Sus scrofa: one gene and its partner. The protein of the gene in region 1 binds, or shares a complex with, the protein of each later gene. Links are inferred from orthologs where the notes say so. Each region holds a gene or a part of one and is shown on either strand. Other genes may lie near its edges.

Region 1 (4,484 bases):
CTCACAGATGCTCATGGCGCTTTGCGGGTCATGACCCTCACACTCCTCCAGCTGCTGCTGCAGCTGGACCACCGCCAGCACTGCCGGAAAGAGCCTCGTGCTGGGTGGCAGGGGGCCTGACCCAGCCCTGCCACCTGCAAGCCCCAGCCTGCGCTGGCATGTGGGTCGGCAAGGAGGCTGGACGGGGGGGCGGAGCTGCCTCGAGAGGTCACCACAAGGACTGGGAAGGCTGATTAAGGACCGCTTAGGGCAGAGAAGGACTGGCAGCATGGGGACCCCGCTGACTGCCCCCTACCAGGCCCTGAGGCCACACGGACTGCCCGCACTCCCACCTCATCGCCCCCACCCCGACACCCTGAGAAGCTCCTCCCAACGAGGTGGGGGGGCCCCATGTGGCTGTTGTCACCTCCCAAAAGACACACGCCCAGGCCTCCTCTGCTGAAGGAGGAGGGGAACTTCCTACCCCCTTTGAGGGGTTCAGCCCCCAGGGTCCCCTTTAGGCTCACCATACTTGAGGGTCCGGCAGACCACTGCCTTCTGCAAAGGCTTCTGGGAGCCAAGCCTATAGGCCTTCTTCAAGGCTCTCTTGGCAGCCAAAAAATCCCCAAGGTCTTGGAGGACCTGGGGGGGGGGAAGGGGAGGGAGGCTCGCAGGCTTCCGAAGGCCGGCCACCCACCCCCACCCCCCCCACCCCACCCCGGGAGCTGGGCCCGGAGCTGCCGGGAACCACTGGCACCTGCGAGATGAGCACGCAGCACTCGCTCTCCATGAAGCCCTGCTTCAGGAGGCGTGCGCACTCCCGGGCCCCCTCCAGGCAGCGCATGGCATCGGAGTGCTGCCCCTGACGCCAGTGGATGGCTCCCAGGTTGTAGCGGGCGCGAAAGAGGTCCTCGTAGAGGTGGTTCTGCCTGTGGGTGGGGACAGGCCCTCGTGCTGAGGCACTTGGCTTTGGGACAGCAGGGTGGGCACCGGAAGTGCCGATGTGCAACCTCTGATGCCATTTGGGATCCCAGCCCCCACGAAGCAGAGCCTGCTCTGGCCCCAGCCTGAGGCACAGACGTGCCAGGCTTCTATGCTAATAGGAAACTGCCAGGGGCAGAGGTGTGAGGTCAGCCCAGCCCCTTGCCCCTCGCTCCTCACCCCTCACAGCAGGGTCTGGGAGCAGCCTAGGGGGCAGCAGCTGCTTCCTCCAGGAACGGGGCGCTCGGCTCCCTCTAGGGGTCAAGTGAGGCCTTACTCAGCAAGAAAGATGCTCTTCTTCAAGTAGGCGCTGCACAGGGCGGCCTGCCGCAGGCTCTCGAAGGTGAGGCCCAGGTTGAGGTAGAGTCGGGTTCTCATCTCACTCAGCTCCCGCTTGGCCAGTGTCCCTGGAAGACATGCCTCCAGACACTCAGCACCTCGGCCCGCTGGGGCTCGCCAGCCTTAGGCCCTATCCAGCCTCTCGTAGGCACCAGGGGCTCTGCTGCAGTGTGGAGGGACAAAGAGCAGAGGCAGCCAGACCCCAGGCGGGGAGGAGCACAGGCCAGGCGTCCCCTCAGGGGGGTCCTGCCACACAGGGCAGGCAGGCGCTGGGGCTGAAGCCTCCTCTCCCCGCGGAGTTCGGGAGGTAGAAGGTGGGGAGAGCCAGGTCCCAAGGGCAGTCACCCTGAAGCTTCTCATCCACGATAGCCAAGCTTTTCTCGAAGGCCGCCTGCGCCTGCAGCAAGGCGTCCTCTGTCTGCTGGTGGTCATAGATGTCCAAGTGAGTGCGGCCAATGGTGGCCCAGGCCCTCTGTTGTTCAGTGTGGTTGGACAGGGAACGTGCCAGGTCCAGGTAGTGGTGCTGGTGCTGGGGCACAGAATGACCCCTGTGAGCCAAGCCCCACCTCAAGCAACCCACGCCTTCCCCAACTCCAGGGGGACGCCTAGAAGAGCTCTCCACTCCCCAAGCCCCCAGAGTATGCCACACACACCCGTTATCTCTTTGCCAAGGGCTGCCTGTGGGGACGGTAGCACCCCGCTCCAACCAGCCAGAGTCATCACCGGGGAGATGAGTGGGAGTTAGGGGGGCTGCTGCAGCCCCAGAAGCCAGGGACTAGGCAGCTCTGTGTAGAAAAAGTCAGGATTCCAACCAGCCCACAAACTCAGCTCCAGAAATATGTTCACGAGGGCTTTCTGCGGCCCGGCTGTGGTGTACCCATCCAAAGACCAGGCTGCCGTCGCCTGGCACAGGGTTCTCTGAAGGTGATGCCCAATGGTAGCGTGTCCCCCTCTCCCCAGGGGCCTGGACGGTGGAGGCTGTACTCCCTCCTCAGAAACGGACCCTCGGGCAACGCGGGCCCAGGAGACGCGGCCTCCACTCACCTGCAGGGCCTCGGTGAAGTTCTCCATCTCCGCCAGCCGCTCCCCAATCTTGCGGTGGGCCACCGCGCAGCCCAGGGGGTCGCCGGCGGTCTCCAGGAGCTGCAGCTCTTGCTGGTGCTCTCGCAAGGCTTCGGCGTATCGGCCTGGGCGGGCGGGGCACGTTCCAGTCTGGCCGGACAGGGGGCCACGGGCCGCGAGGGCCAGTGGGGCAGCGACCGGCCCTGGGCGGCACACTGAGCAGGCCCCCGCCCTGCCGCCTCCCCACCTCCGGCCCCTGGCCCCCCGGTCCTCCCGACGCCCCCCTCTCAGTCCCGGACTCCACCCCACGCACCATGGCTGGCCAGGAGCTCCCCTAGCTGGTGACAGAGATTAGCCTCCTCCCGCAGCTGCCCGCTCCTCTGCGCCTTAGCCTTGGCCTTGCTCAGCTCTGCAAAAAGAAGGACGAGGCCTGGATGCGGAGCCCCCCTGCCCGGGAGAGCCAGGCCCGCTCCCGGCCCCTGCGCTCGGGCGCTCGGCAGGGAACTCACGGCGAAGCTCGCGGTCTAGACTCATATTCCGGCAGCGGCGCCAGGGGCTCCAGACTTCCCGCGTTCTCGCGCCTTGGCGGCGGTCCCTCCCACTGGGGCGCCGCGCGCAGGCCCAGTCGGGCCTGCGGCCCGCGGAGCATCCTGGGAAGTGTAGTCCAGTCGTCCGAGGCATCCTGGGAGCTGTAGTCGTGCTGGCGCCTGGCCCGGAAGGGGGGCGCGGGGCGGGGCGAGATGGAGGGCGCCTCCCCAGATTCCTGGCACCGCCCCTCAGCCCGCAGCTGCCCTCGAGGTGGGAACTCCGGGGCTCCCACCCCTGCTGCCACTGTCCTGCCAGCCCGCAAACTTACCTGCCCGTGCGGCTTGATCTGCGGAGCGCACTGCCCTCGCGTGGGAGAAGAGGACGGAGTCTGGGACCGCAAGCACTTGAGTACTTGGCGTAATCAGAGGTGTCCCTGTCACAGAACCCGTGGAAGAGCCTCGAGCGCGCCACAGTCGTCACGTGTGGGGCTCCTACCTCCAGGGCCGGGGTCGGGGGTGGGGAGGGAAGGGGACTGTTTTCCAAAATGAACTGAGCAAAATGCTGCTTCCTCGATGTGCACGCCAGCCAGTTGTTTTCCTGGAAAACTCGGGAGTACAGCCTGCAAACCTGTTTTGTGCTGAGAGGGAAAAAGGAGCAGGAACGAAGCCCACAGCGCTCTAGCCGACTTCTCAGCGCAGGAGGACACGGGGGCCCCTGTGGTCGTGGGGCACCTGGCCTCAGAACTCGAATGCCTGTCCTGTCCTTTCCCCCACACCTTGAGAATCAAAGACCTGCCAGACCTTGGGGCTCTCAGTCCCTGGCCTGCCACGGGGCCCTGGGCACCCCGAAGGCCCCAGAGGAGGCCTGGAAGAAGTGGGCAATGGGCAGTTTTATTTTCTGTGGATATGGAAACAAACCCAGTGGGGTAAAACTCTCTGCCAGTGGAAGGGCAGCAAGGCCTGCTGTTGAGGGAGTAATAGGGAGGTTGGATGGGTGCCAGGTCCAGAGAAGGAGGAGCCACAGGAAGTGAGAAGTCGGCCACAGGTGGCCCTCCTCTGTGGCTCCTGAGTGATGTGGTCCTCTCTCACCCTGCCCCCAGGGGCCCAGAGGGCAGGACAGGAGGCCCTGAAACCAAGGTGGATGACTGGCAGGCAGGCTGGTGAGATGTGAAGGGCAACGGGGGAGACAGCGTGGGGAGGGGGCGCTGAGCCACAGAAACCCGGGCAGAGGGCGGAGGGCTCAGGGCTCCTTCCCACTCCGGCGCCAGCACTCAGAGTGGAGCAGCTTCTCCACGCCTCGGTTTCCCCACAGAGGGATCAGGGGTGCGTGTAGGAGGCAGAGCTGAGCGAGAGGCTGGGAGCCCGGCGGTGGGGGGCCCAGGCTGGGAGCCAGCAGGGGCAGCAGCGGACCCCTGGCTGGGAGGCGCGCCGAGCCCAGCCGGAAGCCCGTCCACGAAGCTGTCTTCTTATAAGAAGACAGAAACAAAAGCTTGGTTTGGAACTTTTTAAAACTGCAGTTACATGCAGAAAACATCCAAAGAGCACAGACCACAAAAGCCACATGTAAGTCGTACCCCACAGGGCTAAAAACACCTC
Region 2 (3,804 bases), on another chromosome or scaffold:
TCTAAAAGTTCATTTATAATTTGGTAAATTTGTGGTTTGCAATGTATTTTCCCAGAGAAATAATCAGAAATGATAGACATATTTTCACTTTAGCTGTAAATGGTATTTACCCAATAAGAAATTTTGAAAGTTTATTTCTAATTAAGAATAGCACAGAGTTGTTAAAACACAAGCACTTAAGGGAGTTCCTGTCATGCCTCAGTGGGTTAAGAACCTGACTAATATCCATGAGGATGTGGGTTCGATCCCTGCCCTTGCTCAGTGGGTTAAAGGGTTCGGTGTTGTCAGTGAGCTGTGGTGTAGGTCACAGACATGGCTTGGATCCAGCATTGCTGTGGCTGTGGTGTAGGCCAGCAGCTGCAGCTCCGATTTGTCCCCCAGCATGGGACCTTCCATATGCCGCAGGTGCGGCCCTAAAAAGAAGAAAAACAAAACAAAACTCTTAAACAACAATTGGGAAAAAAAAAAAGCCACCCCCCCACACGTTTCTTCAATGCTCTGTTTGAGAAAAAGCATGTTAAGTCAGAAGATAAAGTAATAAATGGATATTTTTTAAAAATTCTGAAGAGGAGAGTTTATACCCTTAAGAAATAAAAGAGTTCCAAACCAGTTCTGTCAAATGGATACTTCACTGGATTTTTCAACTAAGGAAGTTTATACGAATTCTTATTAAGTGGACTATTTTGGTTTCAGAGGGTCACACAGGGCGAGCACTCCACACTCGCCTGCTGCCCATAAGTCCCCTCCACCCATCTTCCCCTCTGTGGGACTGGTAGCCCAAGCTTTACCTTTCTGATAATGGACACACTAAACTTTGTTTTAAATGCTACTAACTTAGCGTTTAAAGAGCCAACTTAAAATTTATTGGAAATTGTGAAAATCTATTTTAAAAATCCATCTGTGTAAGAGACTGCTTATTACCTAATCAAAATCCATTCTCCTCTTCCTCCTCAATTTCCTTTGCTGGATACCAAGGTAAGAAGCCCATATCTTCAGTATCAGGTACTAACAAATAATGAAGTGTATCTCTAGCCCCATCCTTTCCCCTTCATGACAGATCAGTGTTTCCAAGTACCTACTGGACATCATTACCTAGATATTCCACAGCATCTCACATCGAAGCTGCTCAGAAATCAATTATTATTATTATTATTTTTTTTGTCTTTTTGCTATTTCTTTGGTCCGCTCCCGTGGCATATGGAGGTTCCCAGGCTAGGGGTCTAATCGGAGCTGTAGCCACTGGCCTACGCCAGAGCCACAGCAATGCAGGATCCGAGCCGCGTCTGCAACCTACACCACAGCTCACAGCAATGCTGGATCGTTAACCCACTGAGCAAGGGCAGGGACCGAACCCGCAACCTCATGGTTCCTAGTCGAATTGGTTAACCACTGCGCCACGACGGGAACTCCAGAAATCAATTCTTAATTTCATTCCTATGTCTCGAGAATTTTCCATTTTGGTTAGTAGAACTACTACTGACATAAACAGCCACCATGGAATCTAGGGAGTATTCTATTTCTTTCTGTTGTTCTACAATGGTCACTCAGCAAGACTTTGTGACTGGAGATCCTAAATGTTTCTGAAATCTGCTGTGTGCCTCTATAACCACTGCCTTAGTTCAAAACCCTCAAATAATGAACAACTTATTGCCTTCCAAGTCTCTAATCCATCTTCCACACCAACTTCAATGATGCCACCAGAATCACCTTTCTAAAATGTAAATATGACATGCGACCCCACTTCTCTGTGTCAAAGCCATCAACAGTCCCCATGTACAAGAATAAGTCCAATCTTCTGAGCACGGCACCCAAAGCCCTTCATTACACGCTTCCTCCTGATGCGTCTCCAGCTGGAAGAGAACATCATATTTTCTTGTAGCTCATGTCCTCCACATGCTGTTCCCTCTGACAGGACTCTCCTTCAACTCCTACCCACTCTGCTCTCTGACACCTAACATCCTTTACTACAGTATCTTCTCTTGCATCTCCTCATCCCAGAACGGCTAACAGACAGCTAAGGCCTCTAAGGAAAATACTGAGCACACTGCTGTGTCTATGCTTGCAACTTTAAGCTTCTTGAAGGTGGAGACTTTGCCTCTTCCACCTTTGTTTACAGAACTCAGCACAAAAGGGATTTTAAGCCTGTTCAAGGGAAGTGCAACATCACACATGTACATCAGGATTACAATGTACCACTTTGAAACCTGCAGTCAGTAAAGTGGTTTAAAGTCAAGTGACAAATTTTTCTTTCTCTCTTTCCTATTTTTTTAAACTTTAAGCAGCCACACTTACTGTACCTGGAGATACAAAGGAAGACTCTTCTGAATCGCAGTCAACATAGGTGCAGGTAGCTCCTTCTCTTGCTGTAACACTGTATGTGGCAGCAGTAAACAGTCTATGATCCGGAATAGTAATTTTTGGGCTTTAGAGGTGGCAAAAATTTGTGCCCATGATTTAACAAGAACTCCTAACAAAGAAGAGCAGACACAGAAAGTACAGTTATCTTCTAACCAGAAACTTCTATTATTCTTCTAAAAATTTTATATTTAAAACACATAGAACCAAGTAAAAGTTGGCAATAGGAAGAAACATATATTAAGAGTGAAAAGACTTATGCTAAGAATTTCACTAAAGAGACAACTCTCTCAGAGTTCTGGGCCAAAAAGAACATACACTGCCTGAGCAACTGGCATTTAATACAAATATACATAGTGTGTAGTTATACATTATGTGAATATATAAATTGAATATTGCAATTAAGCAGATATCCCTCGTTGCTCTGGCTGCTAGGAAACTCAGAGGCAAATTTACAGTCCAACTTTAAGAACACCATAAGATCATACATTATGCTCCTAAATATACATTTACTTTTCCATAGGCTTCATCATGTTACTATTCCATATTTTCTTGATACCCTTATTTCTTTATATTTTTATCTTGCATTTAACTTACAGACTGGCACAACCCAGTTTGCAACAAGAGGTATAACTAAATTTAATTGCTATAGTACGTAAAAAGATTAGCTATAACATCTTGAAACAGTCACTTAACCTCCTTGAAACTAAGTTTTTATAACTTTCAGTTATTTAACATGAACGGTGAATTTAAATTGTGATTTTAAAAGAAGAGGAACAGATCTCTTTACTACATGAAATATATTATGATTTCCTTAATGATGGGGGTCTGTAAATTTCCTTAATGATGGGAGACTACATTTAATGATAGTCAACAAATGAGCACCCTTTGTTCAATAAAGTAATTAAGAGAAGATATATTCTTCTTTTTAGAGTCTATTACTGCTACTGAAATCTTCACTGAAAAAAAATGAATTTAAAAGATCACTAAGCATTTGTCCAAGTAGTAGTGGTGCATGTGCTGCATAAACTTTTATATTTTATTCAATCTTAGAATAGCAAAAAAGATGATAAAATTCAAAGTCATTTCCATAAAACAAAAAGTTTAAAATTCAAGCTCTGAAGGAAAACACAATATGCTTCTAGAAGAATATATAGATGTTAAAAAAAACAACCAATAATCACTTCTAAGAACAACAAACAGCAACATTAATCTTCTGTTATAAAAGGAAATACAATAATCAATCATAAAGAAACACAATGCTCACTTAGCAATATTTTAAATAATGCTGGCTTGCTTCTCATTTTTCTAGTAGGTGAAAAACTTGAGAATGACAGCAGTGTAAGAAGAACTCACATTCTAAGCAACATTAATATACCAGTAAGAGGAACTGCCATCACCACCAACATTTGAAATGATTCATATCACTCTTAAGTGTCACACAGGTAT

What was found.
Region 2: TONSL (region 1) and MMS22L share a complex: the UniProt entries of both Homo sapiens proteins name them as parts of the MMS22L-TONSL complex. The link is inferred for Sus scrofa from reciprocal best matches to the Homo sapiens genes TONSL and MMS22L.

What each region holds. Positions count from the first base shown.
Region 1 is NC_010446.5:348,485-352,968, reverse strand, and holds the start of TONSL (tonsoku-like protein), read right to left. Parts: upstream 2,978-4,484; 5' UTR 2,896-2,977; coding exon 2,871-2,895; intron 2,771-2,870; coding exon 2,675-2,770; intron 2,487-2,674; coding exon 2,344-2,486; intron 1,829-2,343; coding exon 1,645-1,828; intron 1,368-1,644; coding exon 1,238-1,367; intron 909-1,237; coding exon 737-908; intron 622-736; coding exon 507-621; intron 81-506; coding exon 1-80. UniProt on the Homo sapiens protein: Component of the MMS22L-TONSL complex, a complex that promotes homologous recombination-mediated repair of double-strand breaks (DSBs) at stalled or collapsed replication forks.
Region 2 is NC_010443.5:64,327,430-64,331,233, forward strand, and holds part of MMS22L (protein MMS22-like), read right to left. Parts: intron 2,468-3,804; coding exon 2,298-2,467; intron 1-2,297. UniProt on the Homo sapiens protein: Component of the MMS22L-TONSL complex, a complex that promotes homologous recombination-mediated repair of double-strand breaks (DSBs) at stalled or collapsed replication forks.